Rattus norvegicus: one gene and its partners. The protein of the gene in region 1 interacts with the protein of each later gene in a pairwise test. Links are inferred from orthologs where the notes say so. Each region holds a gene or a part of one and is shown in the gene's direction. Other genes may lie near its edges.

What was found.
Region 2: the proteins of Atf2 (region 1) and Atf3 interact in binary tests that used the Homo sapiens proteins (3 or more experiments, as listed by UniProt). The link is inferred for Rattus norvegicus from reciprocal best matches to the Homo sapiens genes ATF2 and ATF3.
Region 3: the proteins of Atf2 (region 1) and Kifc3 interact in binary tests that used the Homo sapiens proteins (3 or more experiments, as listed by UniProt). The two-hybrid records come from large-scale screens. The link is inferred for Rattus norvegicus from reciprocal best matches to the Homo sapiens genes ATF2 and KIFC3.

What each region holds. Positions count from the first base shown.
Region 1 is NC_086021.1:79,153,076-79,159,458, reverse strand, and holds part of Atf2 (cyclic AMP-dependent transcription factor ATF-2), read left to right. Parts: intron 1-4,079; coding exon 4,080-4,258; intron 4,259-4,927; coding exon 4,928-5,042; intron 5,043-6,383. UniProt on the Homo sapiens protein: Transcriptional activator which regulates the transcription of various genes, including those involved in anti-apoptosis, cell growth, and DNA damage response.
Region 2 is NC_086031.1:105,280,814-105,287,504, reverse strand, and holds the end of Atf3 (cyclic AMP-dependent transcription factor ATF-3), read left to right. Parts: intron 1-2,256; coding exon 2,257-2,364; intron 2,365-3,682; coding exon 3,683-3,880; 3' UTR 3,881-5,068; downstream 5,069-6,691.
Region 3 is NC_086037.1:9,902,213-9,908,595, forward strand, and holds part of Kifc3 (kinesin-like protein KIFC3), read left to right. Parts: intron 1-3,158; coding exon 3,159-3,297; intron 3,298-5,441; exon of another isoform or gene 5,442-5,933; coding exon 5,934-6,115; intron 6,116-6,383. UniProt on the Homo sapiens protein: Minus-end microtubule-dependent motor protein. Involved in apically targeted transport. Required for zonula adherens maintenance.

The sequences.
Region 1 (6,383 bases):
TGGGTATGCATGGCATGTGATGGTCAGAGGACAACTTGTAGGTACCAATTCTCTCCTTATGCTGTGTAGGTCCGAGGTGTCGAGCTCAGGTTTTCAGGCTTGGTGGTAAGCACCTATCTACCATGCTCTTTCACTTTTCCTGAACTTGATTATTTTAAATCTGTATGAGACATTAAGGTATTAAATTTTATATAATTTAATGGAAGATTATAGGTTTTATATATAAAAACCTGTGTGAATACTTTAGGAAAATTCCATCTTCATAATTATTTTTATTAAACAATGGATATTAAAGGAGAGAACAACTTATTTAGAAAAAGTGTTATTTGAAGATAAGAAAAATGTATACAGCTGAACCAGGATATCCAAGAGTGAGTAATTATTACTCCAGTATATATTTGATATTAACAATGACTGGTACTTCCTTAAGTACATTAGTAACTTGGGGTTCCTGGGCTATAGTTAAGTATTGAGTTGAGTTACATTATGATGTGTTCTTCATCACCTTTTCACTTGAAAAATACATAAAATGAGCAAATTTATATATGAGCAGTTTGTCTACACATAAAAAGACAGTGACAGTGTCCTTTTTAAATATTCTTATAAAATCATAACATGAATAGATTTCTGTCATGAGAATATAGTCATTTACCCCTGACAGGGATATAGCTTCTAAAAAAAAAGGTAAGGTAGTTTCAGTAAGCAGTCTCATCATTCTTTCCAAAGCAGAGTATGTCTACACAAATGTAGACAGTATAGCCTAATGTAACTTAGTATATTACAGGCTGTCATTCCCAGATTATACTGTACTACTTGATACTACTATATGGACCATGTAGGTAGTTACAGCATACTGGTATTTAAACATAGAGAAGGCACAATTGAAAATGCAGACTGGGAGGATGGTTCAGTAAGTAAAAATTGCTTCATAAGCCTGACAACTTGAGTTTCGATTTCCCAGAACCCACATAAGAACCAGATGCAGTAGCACTAGTGCCTGTAGACCCTTCATACCCTTAAGGAGAGATAAGAGGAGGAGGTAGGAAAATCTCCAGAAACTCATAGACCTGACCCTAGCTTACACAGTGGCAAAGAAATTTTGTGTCAAACAAGATACAAAGGTGAAGTCACACCCAAAGGTTGTCCTCTGGCCTTTATGTGTTCATGCCTGCATCCCCACACACAAACATGTACACATACAGGTATACTCATATCACAGACATACACGTATACACCAGAGAGAGAGAGTGGAATTTACACTGCTGGATTAAGTGAAATAGTATAAAGTGAATGTGAAAACCTGAGACATCACTTTATACTGTAGGCTATACAAACATATGTAGACTACACTAAATATCTTTTTAATTCTTTCAATAGCAGATTAACCTGGATTACTATAACTTTAATAAAGTTCCTCATTTTTTTAACTTTTTGCCTAATAACATTCATTGTGAATCACAAATAGATTGTATAGGAATACAATATTAATACGTTATTTATATCCTTATTCTATACTACTCCTCCCCCAGTACTGAGAATTGAAATTCTAGCGGGTACCCAACCACTGAGCTATATTCTCAACCCCTAACTTAGAATTCTTGGAAGCTAAGCATTAGATATCCCCAAATCACAGTTTTTATGGTTATTCTTCATTATTATCTTGGTATATTTAATTACTCTCTTCTTTCTTAACATATGGTCATTTCCACATTTATTATAGTTATTAAGGATCCTGAGAACAGTCTTATTTCCCTGCAGAGCATTCCTTTCCCTTTATATTTTCCAGTTTTCATTCTTTGTGGCTTGTGTATCATCTTCTAGGGGTGCTGCTTCTGCATTCCTTAGTCGTTAGTTCCTTTTAGGTAGTTCATAGTTTCACTGCGCTGAGAAAATCAGTTCAGGACCTCCTCTGTTCTCATTTTCTTTTTAGGGAATTCCATCAAGACTTGTAATTTTAGAAACTATATATTGGTAATTCCAAATTTCTAATAGTCAAGGTATCTCTCCTGATTGCTGAACACTGTTTCTCTGTTGGCATCTCCTTAGCTTTGTCTAGGGAACATCTGAGTATTTCTGAAACAGAGTTCTTAGTTCTGACCTCATTTTTCTCTGAGAAATTTTCCTCCACCTATACATGGTAGTATGTCCTTGTAATTCCTGCACTAGGAAGGTAGTGTCAGGAGTATTGGAAATTCAAGGCTAGCCTATGCTACTAAAACTTTATGGGCTGTGTAGCAAGGCCTACCCCTCACTCCCAATACCCTTTCTGCACTTTCCCACAAAAAAGAAAGGGAAATCTGCATCTATCTACTTATTTAAGCAAAACATTTAGGTGTCACTTTAATTTTATGTTTTCTACCTGTCTTTGAAACCAGTAGCCGATCTTAGTGTATTCATTTACCAAGCATGTTTTGAATAAGGTTCAAACCTCCTCTGTTCAGTGTCATTGTCCTAGTTGTCATCTTTCACTTGTACCAGTGCTACCCTACTTCCCTTTCCTACTGCAGTGCTGAGAGTGGAATCGAGAACCCCAAACATGTACTCCAGACTACTGAAGGTTCCTCATCCCTTTATTTTTCTTCTAAAACACAGTTTCTTTATGTTTTCCAAGGTAGTTTCATATTATTAATACTCTTGTGACAGTTCCCAAGTTGCTGGGACTGTATAACTTCATGCCAACCATACCAGGCTAAACTTTGTTTCAAACCTGCGAACTTAAAAATTTGAGTCATTCTTCTCTCTACTGAAAGTCTTTTAGTAATTTGCTCTTGACGACAACGACAATGTATATTTATTCATTAGGGAAAACCTCATTGAGTTTTGACTGTCTATCCCTCCATCCTCATTTCATGCTCTCTGTATTGATCAAATACTCTTAAGGTTTTTCCTGCCTAGCATTACTTCCTTCTCTACAGCCTGTCCTCCTCTTGATTCTTTCATATCAGATCAGATTTTTTTTTTTTTTGGCAAGGTTTTATTCCTTCACTATTAAAGCTCTACCTTTCCCTCTGCTAAATCATTTGACTTACTACATTATCGTTGAACGATTAATGTCTACTTTGATAGAAGTTTCTGTAATGGTTTTACTCATTGTCACTCTGCTCTCCAATTGTTGAGTTGGAAGCTTTTAGATGTGCTGAAAACCGTAGTTACAATGCTACCAATTTCTCCTTGGAAGTATCTTAATAAGGCTCCAACTGATAGTAGCTATATAAAGGACAATTCAAAGGGACAGAATAGTTAAGGAGTTCTGAGTAAAGCCCTCATCTCTTTTGTAATCTGTAAAACTAGGAAATATTTTAAGACTCATCCTGGCTGATTCATAAATTCTATTTCTCTTTAGTTTGGGAAGTTGTACCTACTAATTTTATATACTCACGTATCAGTGTTACTTGGTCTTTTAATACTAGAAAATTATTGTTACCAAATGAAAAACTACCTGAGATCAGCAGACTGTTTTGTTTTTTTTTTTTTTTAGTTTAAATGTCTTAAAACATGTCCCTTTGTTTGGTTTGGTTTTTGAGACAGGGTTTCTCTGTTTAGCTCTGGCTGTCCTGGAACTTGCTCTATAGACCAGGCTGGCCTCAAACTCAAGACATCCACCTACCTCTGCCTCCCTGGGATCAAAGGTGTGTGTTACCACCACATCTTGACACATTTCTAAACACCAAATTGTTTGTCATAGCACTACCTTGCTGGATCAGTTTCTTGACTTTGCAATATAATAAACAAATAGGAAAGGAAAATCCCCTTCCAAGTTTTGTTTTTTAATTACCCAGAGTAAATTGTATTTGTATTTCTTACTAAAATTCTCACAAAAACATTGCTAAGTAGCCCAGCCTAATTTATTTTAGAGTGATAAAAAGACATATTGAACAAAACATGTTTTTTTTTAAATTTTTAGAATGGTATTTGAACTTTAGAACTGCTTAGATATTTTCTATTAACATTAGATATTAATTTACTTGTAGAGGCATTACGTGGTTGCTTTCAGAAATGTGTTACATTCTGTTCACTGAGGTACATGAATTAACTTGCGTTTTTAAATACCGCCCTTTATTTATCTTAAAATTAAATAGGAAATACCATTGGCACAAACTGCACAGCCCACATCAGCTATCGTTCGTCCAGCATCATTACAGGTTCCCAATGTGCTGCTCACAAGTTCTGACTCAAGTGTAATTATTCAACAAGCAGTACCTTCACCAACCTCAAGTACTGTAATCACCCAGGCACCATCCTCTAACAGGCCAATTGTGTAAGTGATTCCAGTCAGCCACTGACTGCACGGGAGGTGTTAGGGTTTCTCTTACTATGGTTTTTCCCTAGGATATTTAATTACGTGAATTAAATTGTGCATATGTGTGTGTGTATGAGAGAGAGAGAGAGAGCGCGAGAGAGAGAGAGGGCAAGAGAGAAAGCGCAAGAGAGAGAGAGAGAGCGCAAGAGAGAGAGAGAACGCACGCGCACAAGAGCACCATCTGCCTGTTTTGGGTTTTGAAAACTTTAATATTTTTTAAAAAGTAATATCTGACACATTGGACAATAAATATCTAAATCTTAGCTAAAACAGTGAACATAGACTATAAGTTTAAGATGGTCTTATTTTTATGCCGTTTGACACAAAACAAAGTTACTCATTTCAAGATGACATTTGTCTCAGTTCTTAAAAGTAACTCCAAAGACCTTTCTGATAAGAAATGTTCTCGTTTCACAAATTGGAAATCCATGACTTCTCCCAAGGCTTTTTTTAAACACTCATACATAGATTATGCATTTAAGATGCAATTAAAAATATCTAAGTTTTGGAATTTGCCTTTTGAAGGTTAGAAAACTTATTTTTAAGTAATAGGAGGGAAAAGACTGTTATTTTACAGAGGTGGTTGGTATAGATCTTTACATTTTTCCCTTGTTTTGTTTTTCTTAGTCCTGTACCAGGCCCATTTCCTCTTCTATTACATCTTCCTAATGGACAAACCATGCCCGTTGCTATTCCTGCATCAATTACAAGTTCTAATGTGCATGTTCCAGCTGCAGTCCCAGTAAGTTGGAAAGTTAGACCATTTAAGTCTTTGTGTCAAAATTGGTCTTGGTAAAATATCCAGAAAATATACTTGAACTGCTTGATTGGCTTACTAAATGGAATTTATCAAAATGCTTATTAACGGGGAGTAATATTTATTTATCGATACTATGAGAGTCTAGGCAAACATAATTGGATAGAAAACATTTCTCTACCTCCCTGCCCACACTTGTTTTCTGTTTTCTTTTTGTACTATTTTTTGATTCACCTCACTTCGATTTGACTAGATTTGTGAAATTCAAATATTTCTAATTTTTATTTTAAGGTATTTGTATTTGAACACTTGTCAAATAGCTATGGTGTTTATAGTTATACATGTTCTTTAGAAAAAAACACACTTGTCCTTTGTGGTTACATGAAGTTTATTGAATTTCTTTGATGGCCCAAGCATGTTAAGGTCTAAACATTAATATCTAGGCCTGATGACACATGACAGTAATCCCAATAGTCAATAGGCAGAGATAGGATCAGAAGTTCATACTTAGCCTCTGCTAAATAATAAATTTTTGGCCAGCCTGGGCTACTTTGTTGTAAGAAAAATCCAAAAGAAGTTTTATAAGAAACTCGCTAAATAAACAAATTTTGGAAAAAAAAAGAAAAGGTGATTAACTATATTGAGTTGTCCAGTGAACATTTAAAAACATATTGTTGGAGATGTGTGGTTAAGAGCTTGTACTGTTCTTGTAAAGGACATGAGTTCAGTTCCCAGCACCCATTTTAAATGGCTCACAACTGACTTGCTCCTGCTATAGAGGATCTGACAACTTGGGCCTCCATGAGCACCTGCATACAGTGCATATGCCCACACATAGAGAAACACACGTACACATAATTGAAAAAAACAATTATTTAAAAGCACAGTATTTGAAGTGATGAAAATTTTCTTTTTCATATCATTTTTTACAAAATAGTATTATTCATACTTTCAAATTATTCTTCAACATTTAACATTTTCATTCTGAAAAGCACTTTTAGATATCTAGCAGAGTTGTCCAAAGCATACTATTTTCATTTTCCCCAAATCATTTATGATACAGCATGTTTGAGACTTTCTTAATAATTTCCCATAAAGAATACTTTAAGAGCTGGAGAGATGGCTCAGTGGTTAAGAGCACTGACTGCTCTTCCAGAGGTCCTGAGTTCAATTCCCAGCAACTACATTGTGGCTCACAAACATCTGTAACTGGATCCGATGCCCTCTTCTGCTGTGTCTGAAGACAGCAGTAAATGTACCCACCCACATACATGAAAAAGTAAATAAATCTTTTTTTAAAAAAAGAATAAGTCTTAGTCATTCATA
Region 2 (6,691 bases), on another chromosome or scaffold:
TGCTGTTGCCATGGATGCCATTAGGGGCATTAGCTGTGATTCCAGCTAGCTCAGAGGAGGTCAGAGAGGGTACCACTAAACAGTCATGGGTATCAAGTCCAATACTGGAGAGTGTAGGCCAGAGCCTGGGACATTCTGGGAGATATTTTTTTCTTCTAATGATATAGTTTGAAATAAGATACAGTAGTAGGGAGTTTGTGTGAGTGAGTGTGTCTCTGTATATATGTGTGTCTGTGTGTGTGTATATCTCTGTGTGTATCTGTGTCTCTGTATGTATGTGTGTCTGTATGTCTTTATATGTATCTCTGTGTGTGTCTGTGTCATATCTGTGTGTCTGTATCTGTGTCTGTATGTGTGTGTGTCTGTGTATCTCTGTATGTGTTTGTGTCTATGTGTGTGTCTCTGTGTGTGTGTGTGTGTGTGTGTGTGTGTGTGTGTGTGTGTGTGTGTATGATTTTTATATTTTTCTGGGACTGTGGCCCTGAGGCATGAAGGATAGAAATTCAGGGTTAGATTCTTTGGGCTTTGCCTCCCTAGATTGTAAGACCTCCATCTCAGTCCATCGTGTCTTCTGATTCAAAAGCATGGGAAAAGGTCAGGAGTGGGTCAGTCATGGCATCCCAAAGCTGGCAGGGTCTGACACTGGGCAGACCTCAGGAAGGTTCATCCCAGATGTACTTTAGCAGAGTACATGGCTGGGTGAGCTCACTGCACATTGGTCCATAGACGGTCAGGATCAGAGTGAACATCCATGGAGGAGCATAGTCCCCAAAGTTGAACATGGCTCTGTCCTCTGAGTGCCCCAGACTTCTGTGACTCAGGAGGCGGCACAGGAAGTCAGTATGATGTGTTGGCTGAATCAATGGGTGGTTCAGGACTCTACCCACCAGTAGCATCCAGCTGTGGGCTTATTCATACCATTTGCTACTAATAATGTTCTCAAGTCCCTCTTCTCCAGGAGCTCACTGGCCTCATGGGAAGGGCGTACCATGATGCTCCTGGTAAAAACACAGATGTAATTTTTCTGTAACTGTGGTCAAATGGTTGACAGAAGCCACTGGAAGAGGTTTGTTTTGGCTCACACAGTTGAGGAGATACAATCCATCCTGCAGGGAAGACAGAGCAGCCAGAGTGGCTCCATGCCCAGTGGTGAGGGCTCGTGTCCAGTGGTGAGGGCTGGTGCTCAGTGGTGAGGGCTGGTGATTGATGGAGGGCTTGTGTCAGTGGTGAGGGCTTGTGTCAGTGGTGAGGGTTTGTGTCCAGTGGTGAGGGCTTGTGCTCAGTGGTGAGGGCTTGTGTCAGTGGTGAGGGTTTGTGTCCAGTGGTGAGGGCTTGTGCTCAGTGGTGAGGGCTTGTGTCAGTGGTGAGGGTTTGTGTCCAGTGGTGAGGGCTTGTGTCCAGTGGTGAGGGCTGGTGCTCAGTGGTGAGGGCTGGTGCTTGATGGAGGGCTTGTGTCAGTGGTGAGGGTTTGTGTCCAGTGGTGAGGGCTTGTGTCCAGTGGTGAGGGCTGGTGCTCAGTGGTGAGGGCTTGTGTCCAGTGGTGAGGGCTGGTGCTCAGGTAAGGGCTTATGCCCGGTGGTGAGGGCCTGTATACATCTTTTTAGCTCAAGAAGCAAAGCTCAGATAGATAAAGTAGGCTTGGAGTTCAAACCCTCCAACACCCATTTTATGCCACAATCCACCCTTGTCAGTCATGTTTCCCACCCCAAAGGTTCCACAACCTCCTCAAACAGCACCGCTCTCAGGAGAGTGTGGCTAAGGGGCAATGTGGTCATTTCTGATTCTAGCTTCAGTGGTTAATTAATTCAGTGGTTATTAATTTAAAATTCAAATTCTTGTTTCAAAGTGCAAATGCATTTTAAAGGCAGGTCTTGTGTCTTTAAAGCAGACTTTAATTTACTAATTTCAAATATAATTCCATTTTACTGAACAGGACTTAGATTTTGTTACTCACATGTGTGAATGCACATGCGTGTGACGGGAGATCATACAAAACCCTCAGGCCCGAGGCCGGAGAGATGGCGCCGTGGTTAAGAGCACTTCCCGCTCTTCCAGGGGACTGGAGCTCCCAGCATGTGCAATGGGTGGCTCACAGCAGCTGCTGATGATCCAACACTGACTTCTGGTCTCTGAAATCACCATGAATGCACGTGGCAGATATATACACAGACAGCAGATATACAGACACACAAGACCCCACAGCACACAAGACCCCACAGCCTTGGTATTTAAATGTGTGCCTTTCGGATTTTATAGGTGGCCCCTGAAGAAGATGAGAGAAAAAGGAGGCGGCGGGAAAGAAACAAAATTGCTGCTGCCAAGTGTCGAAACAAGAAAAAAGAGAAGACAGAGTGCCTGCAGAAGGTGAGTCCCGCCTGGCCCAACCTCCCCTGAGGGGAGGGAAATGCCAGCTGTAGGCAGAGGGTAGAGCAAAGCTATTAGCAAGGTGGAAGCAGGGGGGGAGGGGGGTGTTGGGGATTTAGCTCAGTGGTAGAGCGCTTGCCTAGCAAGCACAAGGCCCTGAGTTCGGTCCCCAGCTCCGAAGGAAAAAAAAAAAAGCATGGTGGAAGCGATTCTGGAGATGTATATGTGTACACATACATACACACACATGTATAGGCATATGTGTATATATATATCCATTTATATATACATACACATACACACACACACACACACACACACACACACACACACACGGCCAGCAAGCTGGCTCATGAGTAAAGGTCCTTGCAATGCATATGTGGCACCCTAGTTTGACACCCAGAACCCGCTGTGGAAGGAGAGAACTGGTTTCTAAACGTGACCTCTGACCTCCACATGCATGCTGTGGCACAAATCCCCAGCAGTTTCTAGACTTGCGGGTCACACCAGCCTATTTAAAGAGACTTTACTCATCAGTTTTAACAAATACAAACTGCAAAGCCCTGCCACTGCCTTTGGCTCTCAGGAAAAGCTTGCATTAATCTCTTCAAGTTACGGTGCTGAAGTGGTGCTTACAGTGCTCCTCCCTGGATCTGAACCCTCCTCTCTACTCCATGCTTATCCAGCACTGAGCACCCTGGGAGGCTGACACCCCACACCAAGCACCAGGGGTACAGCATGGGTTCACAGGCAAGGCAAGCTACAGAGCCTGGAAGTCTTTGCAGGGGCCATGTCTGCTCTCCCAAGTGTGTGCAGGGCAGCTTCTCAAAGAGATGTAAAAGCCTGGGTTGTCTGCTCGCTACTTCAGGGTCAGTGAAAAAAAACTTGGGCAGCTTTGGTGTTTCTGAGAATACGTCTGTGGACATGGGAGTCTTGGTGAGATCAGAAATTCAAAGACAACTCCACACCACCCGTTTGGGTTCCTCGATAGCTCCCACGATCCTGTGGGGCCCAGATGCCTTCCCCACGGGCAGTGAACTAGAGCAGCTCTCTCTGAGCCCTTGGTGCAGTTCCATCGAGCATGGGCGCCCGGCTCGGTGCTGTCCCTAAGCTTTCTTTCACGTCTCCCAACTTCAGAGCCCTCTACAGGAAACCCTGTACCTTCCACCTTCCACCTAGTTTGGTCCTCCCATCCTTGTGGTAGGACGGTTCTGCTAGCAGGTCTCAGTCTGGGGAGCCCCAAGGATTCCAGGTGGCCCCCCATCTCCCTGCCCCTTGGCTCCCTCCATAATGCTGCTGTCTGTTGATCATCCCTCAGGAGTCAGAGAAACTGGAGAGTGTGAATGCCGAACTGAAGGCCCAGATCGAGGAGCTGAAGAATGAGAAGCAGCATCTGATTTACATGCTCAACCTGCACCGGCCCACGTGTATCGTCCGGGCTCAGAACGGGCGGACGCCGGAAGACGAGAGGAACCTTTTTATCCAACAGATAAAAGAAGGAACATTGCAGAGCTAAGCAGAGGTGGCATGGGGGCAATTGGGGAGTCCTTACTGAATCCTCCTTTTCCACCCCAAACCCTGAAGCCATTGGAAAACTGGCTTCCTGTGCACTTCTAGAATCTCAGCAGCCACGAGCTGTTGGGTCAGGAGGGCCTGCGGTGACTACTGCGTTGTCCCACTCTGTCCCCGAGTGAACCGTGGAGCAGGCAGGAGCATCCTTTGTCTCACCGGCTCCAGGATTTAGGCCTTACCATCCCGGCCATTCTCAGATGACCTAGCTGGCCCCAGGCTGGGGTCCCATGCAAAGCAGGATCGCACTAATGGGATGCAGGCAGAAGTGTCTACCTTGACAGGTGGGGTGGGACCACGTCCTCCACTGCGGCTGACAACATCCCTCCTAGGGAAGATGGAGTGAGAACATTCATCATTGAAGTTGTCCAATGGCCAGGGTATGCTTTCTAGAAACTATGCTGTTCTGTCCTAGACTGACTGTGCATAGGGCATTCATTTCTGAGCCTGGTGTTGTGCTATTTAGATGTTTGTCTTGCACAACATTGGCGTGATTTTTTTCCGGGAGTTTCATCAGACCTGATTTCCGAGAGTTTGGGGGTCTGCCACTGTGGACAATATCCCCCAAAAGTGTTTGGGTGGCCATGTAAACTGGCTGATGACCAGCTGTGCTACTCTGTGCTGACCGAGGACTGATGCCTCCTTCCCCTGTACCCACTGCTGAGGAAGAACCCGGGCACAGCAGCTGTCCTTGGCTACAAACTGTTACAATGTCACAGAACGAAGGCACAAAGTCCCGCTTTCAAAGGGCGTAGGACTCCACACTCAGTGACAGGGCAGGAAGAGCCAAGGATTCTCCGTTTTCCCTTCCTTCCCACCAAAAACCACAGCCCGTGGAGACTGGTATTTGAAGCCAGGAGTGGGGCAAGGAAGGTGTCTGCACTGTGGGATGTTAACTGCGCTTTTGTCTTGAAGCTATTTTGAGATGCGGTCCAGAGTATTTCAGCTGGGAGGTCCCTCCCACTGGCCACCAGGGCTCTGGCTACTGTTAAAATTCTGATGTTTCTGTGAAATCCTCAGTGTTCAATCCGACTCAGTAGTATATTACAGTTTTCTGTAAGAGAGAACGTTACTTATTTATCCCAGTATTCCTAGCCTGTCAACGTAATAAAATATCAGAATGAGACCTGGTAAACCTTAGCGTGGCACTGGTTTCTGCTGAGTGTTGAAATGGTGATGATGCCTTTCTGTCATGGGGTGGTCAGCACTGAGTGTTTGGGGACGGATGGCTTCCTTCGTTCATGGGGAGACCACTAGGTAGGGCAGTTAGTAATTCATATTTTATGTGTATGGGTATTTTGTCTGCATGTATGTCTGTGTGCCACGTGCATGCAGTGCCTGGGGAGGCCAGAAGAGGAGGGCATTGGGTTCCCTGGAACTGGGGTTTCAGAGGGGTTGCAAGCTACCATGTAGTTGCTGGGAACGGAACCCAGATCTTCCCCGAGAGCACCAAGTACTGTTGTTAACTGCTGATCCATCTCACCACCTCCATTTATTTTTATTTATAATCGTGTGTGTGTGTGTGTGTGTGTGTGTGTGTGTGTGTGTGTGTGTGTGTGTGGTGTACATGAATGCAGTTGCCCACAGAGACCAGAAGAGCTCTTAAATACTGAGCCAGCTCTGCAGCCCAGGTGGGTGACTTCCCACTCCGTGCCTCTCATTGACAAACCCCGAAACAACGCTACAGGTGTGTCCTTCAAGCCACCTGTTTGGTGCTAAGATAGATTTTCGTTTGCTTTGAGTCAGGGTCTCAGTATGTAGCCCTAGGTGACCTGGAACAGAGTACACAGGCCAGACCGTTCGCTGATCTGCCTCCGGAATGCTGGTTCAAAGGGGTGCACCACCATGCCTGGCTTATGATAGAATTTTGATATAGAATCCAAACTGCTAAGTAGTTCAGCCGCCAGTTTCTCTGAACACAGAAATACACCTAAGACATGCACTTTTTTTTTAAAAGATTTATTTATTATATAAGTACACTGTAGCTGTCTTCAGACACACCAGAAGAGGGCATCAGATCCTATTACAAGTGTTTGTGAGCCACCATGTGGTTGCTGGGAATTGAACTCAGGACTCTGGAAGAGCAGTCAGTGCTCTTAACTTTGAGCCATATCTCCAGCCCTTTTTTTTTTTTTTTTTAGCTTGAGAGATTTTTACAAATTGTGTTTAGTTTGGAAGCAGATGGGGCATATGTGCGCTAAAGAGAACAGCTTGGAATCAATCTCTTTCCGCCATGTGGGTCCTCGGAATTGAACCCGGGTCATCAGGCTTAGCAGCTGCACCTTTCCTGGCTGCACCGGTGGCTTTGTCTCAGCTGGAATCTATTGAACTTCCCTAAATGAGTTTCAGCTTGACTTAGACATGTTAACATCTGTTAGCATCTGTGCACCTCATAGCACATACGTATTTCAAATACCAAGGATGAAGAGGGTGGGGAAAAGAAGGCGAGAGAACAGTCTTGGACAAGATGGAGGGTGGGTAGGGTTGTTCCAAGAACGGTAATTCTAATTTTCTGGAATTTCCTGGCCCAGTGATTTCTCCCTTCCCCTCTCCCTTGAGACTTCTCCCTCACTTTGCAGTTCTGGGGATATACCTAACCCTCCCTTCCCTGGCAAACCACAGCCCTTGAATGGAGGACTGGGGACGATATCTGAGAGTCAGTTCTTTATTTCTAGTCACATGAGTCCTGGAGAATCAACTTAGGCCAACAGGCTTGATGGCAAACACTGACCGGCCAGCTGAGCCAGCTTGCCCTGCC
Region 3 (6,383 bases), on another chromosome or scaffold:
AGGACAGAAGAGGGCATCAGATCGGCTCAGACGAGAGTTACGGTCACAAGCCACCATCTGGGTCCTGGGAATTGGACCTGGGTCCCCCCGGAAGGGCAACCAGTGCTCTCAACTGCTGAGTGGTCTCTTCAGCCTCCCGTATTAGTATTTAATATGTGTGTTTGCTGAACGATGTTTGCTGTTGGCCGCTTTGTGCCACTGCATCCTTAGACTGGGCATGGATGCTGAGAAGGGACATACGGGGCAGTAGCCCAGTAGAGGCTCCAGAGAGTCACCAGTGACCTCGCAGGCGTGACTACAAACAGGAGAGCACCAGGCACACAACTTGGGAGCATGAAGTTCCTGGGTTATCTGGGGGTGTTGTCCAGATTCCCCTAAGAGACGGGACTCATGATCCTCTAGTCTTCTTTATATTTTTGAGACAGGGACTCCCTCTGTAGTCTAGGTGATGTGGAGCTCACACCAGATACTCCTGTTCCCACGTGCTGTGGGTTTAGGAATAAACCAGCTTCTGATACACACACACACACACACACACACACACACACACACACACACACACACTCATCCTGCCTTTTCCAAGAGCCAGGATACTCCTGTTCCCACGTGCTGTGGGTTTAGGAATAAACCAGCTTCTGATTCACACACACACACACACACACACACACACACACTCACACACATCCTGCCTTTTCCAAGAGCCAGGAGTAAAGGCAAGTGCCGGTGGTTAGCAGGATGGGTGCTGGGGGAAACGCACACCTTTGAGCCATCCTCTTTCCAGCAGATGGATACAGTCCAGGGCTGCTGCTCTCGGCAGGACCCCAGGGATGATGGTGTTTAAGGGACAGCCTATGTTTCAACATGTCTCTTGGTTCTTGTGAGATTCTTCTGAGGACTGAACTGACCATACTTGTTTCTTTAGTGAAGTCTTCCAGGAGAGTGGGTCTGGTAAGACAACAGTTAAGGAAACCAGAGGGAAGTTAAATCGGGAGGCTGTGGTCATGAGCTGCAGCTCAGATGGGTGGTGGCCCTGTTCTTGAGCTTTGATTATGGGGTATTGGGCTGTGGCTGCTACGGAGGCCTGGGCTCAGCAGTTCTACTGACGCTCCATTCAGAAGCCGTTAGTGACCAGCTTCCAAGTTCATGTCCTTCCGGCCCTGCAGAGCTCTGCCTTATGGGTACGGACGGACGTGTGCCGAAGTGTGCTCCAAGCACAGGGGCAGGACCTGTAGGTCACAGACTCAGTCAGTCCAGCCTTGTTCCAGCCACTAAAGACCGAGTGGTACCTCCAGGACGCTGCAGAAATTCCCAGCCCCCTTTCTGTGCTTCAGCCAGCAGCCCAGAAATAGTAACCTTTGCTCCTGCCTGAAGGCAAATGGAAACTTCCAACTGTCGCCATCCCTGCCACCCCGACCTCCCCCAGCCTGCAGGAGATAGTGTAGCAGTTGGTTGAAGGGCGGGGACAGAATTAAGCTGAGGAGAAATGTCCTAAATACAAGAGATGGAGGGAGGAAGAGGCTGAGGATGTGGCTGACTAGGCACCTGCTGGGCCGATTTTCACTCTTGCGATTCTTTTTCTAAAAGATTTACTTTATCTATGTGAGTACTCTGTCACTGCCTTCAGTCACACCAGAAGAGGTCATCGGATCCCATTACAGATGGTTGTGAGCCATCATGTGGGTGCTGGGAATTGAACTCAGGACCTCTGGAAGAGCAGTCAGTGCTCTTAACCACTGAGCCATCCCTCCAGCCCTTGCAATTCTTTTGATTGGCCTTTTGATGCTCAAAGTTAGAGTGTAGGTCAGAGAAAGTATAAACTGATGGTAGCTATCCGTGCCTCTTTAAGGCACTTGAAGCATGCCTTGCTTGGTGTTGCCTTTGGTTTGCCCACTGGCACTAGAGGGCAGAGATTGATTAGACTGAGAAGGGAGGGAAACAGCTTCAGAGAGGGAGCAGAGTTTGTCTACAGCCACACAGCACACAGATGACATGCTGTCTCTGTGCTTTACCCTCCCTGTACCAAGCATTAAAGAAAAGGTGTGGCGCCTGGCCCTGGGATGTTGTCACAAGCCTTTAGTTCCAGTGGTGACAAGGCAGAGGCAGACAGATCTCTGCAGCTTCCAGACCAGTCAGGGCTACAGCATGAGGCCCTGTAAATAAAATAGAACAAGATTGACACTTGGCTTGAGACAGAAAGGCATTTTCCCAGATGCCCTGTGAACACAAGCACAGCAAAGCCGTGTCTTTAAGGTAAAACAGTCGAGCCTCAGATGGGTCCAGAACGACCTGGAGCCCTTCCTGATCAGATCCTCCTCTGCGGCTGTGACGTTTATCTCGATCCCCCAGGTTTAAGTTGCTCTTGTTTCCGTGTCCGTGGGTCTCTGTGTGCGCACAGCCCCACACCAAGCGCACACACAGACCCCGCTGCCTGTGAGCTCCCAGTTCACCTTTCATCTGTCTTGTGTATTATTACCCTTAAATGGGTTCACGTTCCCCACACCGTCTGGACCCTTGCTTGGCGTCTTTCTCCAAATGAAGTGCCCCACTTTACCCCTCCACTCACCTGCCCCAGCCCAGCCACCTTTGCCTCAGTCCCTTGACCAGGACATGGGGTCGCATTGCCCCTGGATAGCCCCATGGGACACAGCATGCAAGAAGCAGAGTGGCCGTTCTCCTGGTCAGATGGACTCGTGTGTAGCCTCCTGGTTCTGGGAGTGCCATCCTTAGGTGGGAAGCTGTCTACCAAGGTGTCACAGCAGGCGACACTATGACACTATGGGGGAGTGGCCCTAAGACTGCCGTGTGTAGGCAGGACAAGACAGCCACCTGCATTAAGGCTCGTTAGGAGAATGCTGCTCACATGTTGCTGCCCCCTGGAGCCTGAAGGGATAGCACAGACTTTATCTAGGGGACGTAGGTTCTTAGAACCCCTTTTACCGGTGTGGAGACTGACTGTGGTGGCACCCAAGAATAAATTACTGTCATCTTTCTGTAGGATGTTAGTCTGACTTCTCCGGTTTCCAGGCAAGACTCTTTGTCCACACCTCCTTGGTGAAGACAGTGCTTGGGCCCTGGGACCAGAGTGCTCACAACCCCAGGGCAAGGGTCTCTCCTCAGTGCAGTCCCTTCACGAGAGGATTCTGGTTGTGTCTTGGCAGCAGGCCCTGCAGGACAAGGGGTGCGAGAGCAAGAGTCAGGGGACGAAAGAAGACAGACTCCCGAAGAGGCAGGCGCCGGCCCCCAGGCGGGACCGGGAGGCCCCAGAAGCTGGTGGTACCATGAATGTAGAAAAACCAGGTAAAGGAGGTCAGCCCCACTGTCTGACACGCTCTGGCTGAGCGAGTGCAGGAGGGAGAACTCTGTCCCACAGCTGGAAGTGGCTCAGCCAGGCTGGCCACCTGACATGAACCTGAGACTCCGACCAGCCTCGTCCAGATCCATGGACAGCCATGTGTCTGTCCTCTTTCTTGTCCTGCCCCTTGTCCCAGGGCCACCAGGGCCCCACCCAGTGATAAGACTTTGGCCAGTGGAGGTTGGGTTGGATTTCCCTTCTTTTTGTCTTTTCCCAGTACCTACCTAAAGCAGGGCCCAGGAGCAGCCTCGCAGACGCCACCAGTTCCTTCAGCAAAGGCCTGGCTCTGTTCCGGTCAGAGGATCCAGAGGTCAGGGACTCGTTTCCCTCCCTCCAGGCAGAGAAAACTAAGCCTGCAGTTCCATTATCCCCTGACCACTAGGGCACCTAGAACTAACTGGTTTTCAAAGGTTCTCCAGGTTCCTTTGCTGTCTTCTGGGTTTTCAGCAGAAAGTACTGGCCAGTGAACACAGGGAGAGAACATCTTAGGGAGCCTCGGGGCAAGGCCAGGAGTACTGGGGAGAGGTGCTGTTTTCTCAGAGTCTGTGTGTCTGAACTTGCTGGGGTTGCTGGAGGAGGTCCCTCCCTCCTCTGAATCTGAACCAGTGCCTGTTGTGTACAAGCCCTGGTCCATCTAGATTCAGGGCAGGCATAGGGTGTGTAAGCAATGGGCAGTCAGGTTTTCAAAATGGCTACCATCTGGCCAGCTAGGTGGGGTAAGCCCAGAGGAAGGAAGGCTAGGTCCTCCTAGCTCAGGCATAGCACCTGAGCTCTGGGCCCTGTCGTGGTCCATGCCTCTAGAAACTGACCTGTCAGGTGGTAGCTTCCTCAGCAGGGGCTTGTCCTGCTCAAGCACCCTTGGGCCTCACCTCTCCTCCCTTCTTCCCTTAGCTCAGTCCTCCCTTAGCTTCTTCAAGAGTGTCTCTTCCACTACCCATGACTCTGCAGCTTCCACTCAACTCCTGGCCCTCTTACACAGGGTACCATGCTGTGGTCTGGGGCTCAGAGCCTCCCAGGACAGGAGCGGTGTCATGGATGACACTCATACCTGTGTTTCCAATGGGACTCCAGCTATTTTCCCATGGCTGCTTTTGGGCTAGGTGCATTGTCCCTGTTTCACACAGGAAGAGCCTGCAGGGTCCCTCCCATGTGATTCAAGAGGCAAGACCAGCTCTCAGCCCAGCACATTCGGTCGCGCACCGATGCAGTCTGTGGCCTTACTGGTCACATGTCACCCGTGGCAGCCCCGTGTGCTGGCCTAGAAGCATCGGGCTGCCCTTACTCCCTCTAGAATAGATCACAGAGGCTGGACCTGCACTGTGTGACTTTCATGCTGTGTCACATGCAGGGCCACACAGCTGGGGCCACTTGCCTAGCACGGGTTGTCCAGCCCCAGATCTCGGGGGTGGGGGGAGAGGACACCAGCCCCACCCATGGGAGCCTAGCTTCAGCTGCTCCCTCCCATTTCCCTATACTGCCCTGGGGCTTTGCAGAACTGTGGTCAAGGCTTGCTAGTGGTGGGGGTGAGACACAGGGAGGCCCCTCATCTCTGAGGAAGCCAGAAGCTAAGGCAGCATTGAAGTAGAAGGCTCACCAGCTAGCACTGGACTTCTGCATGCCCAGAATCTTTGCAGGGCCCCGACTTGGGATGCTGAGGGGAGGAGGCAAATTCTTTTCTTGTCCTCCTGGACCGCTATTGGTTCTGCATTACACAGGCCAGGCTGTTCTCCTCTTCAGAGCTTTGGAACAAGCACCACAGCCCCATTACACATCACAGCCTGTCTCTCATCTCGATGACAGAACAGTAAAAGGTGTTGGGGGAGGAGTCGGGCTGAGGCCTCGCCTGACTTGGTATTTGTCTTTCTCTTGTGCCTGCATACAGGCACCATCCTGAGAATGTGCTTAACTCCTTGTCTGTTCCACGTGCTGGCCCATCTGTGCCCTGATCTGTTGCTTGCACACATCCCCTTACCCCTCCTCCACACTCACAGGGACCACGTCCCACAGAACAGCTGGCAGACAAAGCCTGGTCCTCTCTGCTGTGCTTTTTTTTTTTTTTTTAAAGATTTATTCATTTTATTATATATAAGTACACTGTAGCTGTCTTCAGATACACCAGAAGAGGGCATTGGATCTCTTTACAGATGGTTGTGAGCCACCATGTGGTTGCTGGGAATTGAACTCAGGACCTCTGGAAGAGCAGTCGGGTGCTCTTAACCACTGAGCCATCTCTCCAGCCCTCTGCTGTGCTTTTGAGAGATCGAGAATGAGCATGGAGAGCCACTTCTGAGTAAGCCTCTATTCTTTCCCAGGAAATCGCCTGAGTGCAGGCCAAATTTCCTACTTTGAGGGGACTCAGGAAAAATTATTTTCTTAAGTCTTGGTTTAGTCAGTTCTGTCCTCTAGAAACTTTTGCTAAAGTGACTTCCCCAGAGGACAACCCGGAGGTCCTCTGCAAACCCATTTTGCTGTATTCTTCAGTCCTCACCCTAGCCCCAATGGTGCGCTTGTTGTGATGGCTGCCTTCCTCCTCCAGGCAGACCTCCACTGTCCTGCTGATCAGCCACTACTTTGCTTGTAGGTGGGCGGCTCCTTGGCATCGGGAGGTGCTCAAGCCTGTCCGGGTCACCAGGCCCAGACCCCGTGGTACATAGGACCGTGGAGGCCATGTCCCAGCTTCAGGAGGAGCTGGTAGTCCTTCGGGAGAGGCTGGCCCTCCATGACAGTGACCGGCAAGCCACAACCACCCAGCTGCAGAACCAGGTACCTGGGGAGGCAGGGATGAGCAGAGGCCACTCACTGCCCTCTGGAGCAGGTCAGAGGACATTGTCAGGGTACCTAGACTCCACCAGAAGCCAGATGGTGACCCTTTCCTGGTCTAGGAAGATGCTGCAGGGCGAGGAGGTTCAAACTTGGCTTCTTACTGCAACAAGGGCCTTTAGCACCTCAGTATCTTCCCAGCCAAAAGGTTTTCCTCTCTAATTGATTAAATCTACTTGCTTATTAAGGGGGGGAGTTGAAAGTGAACTGC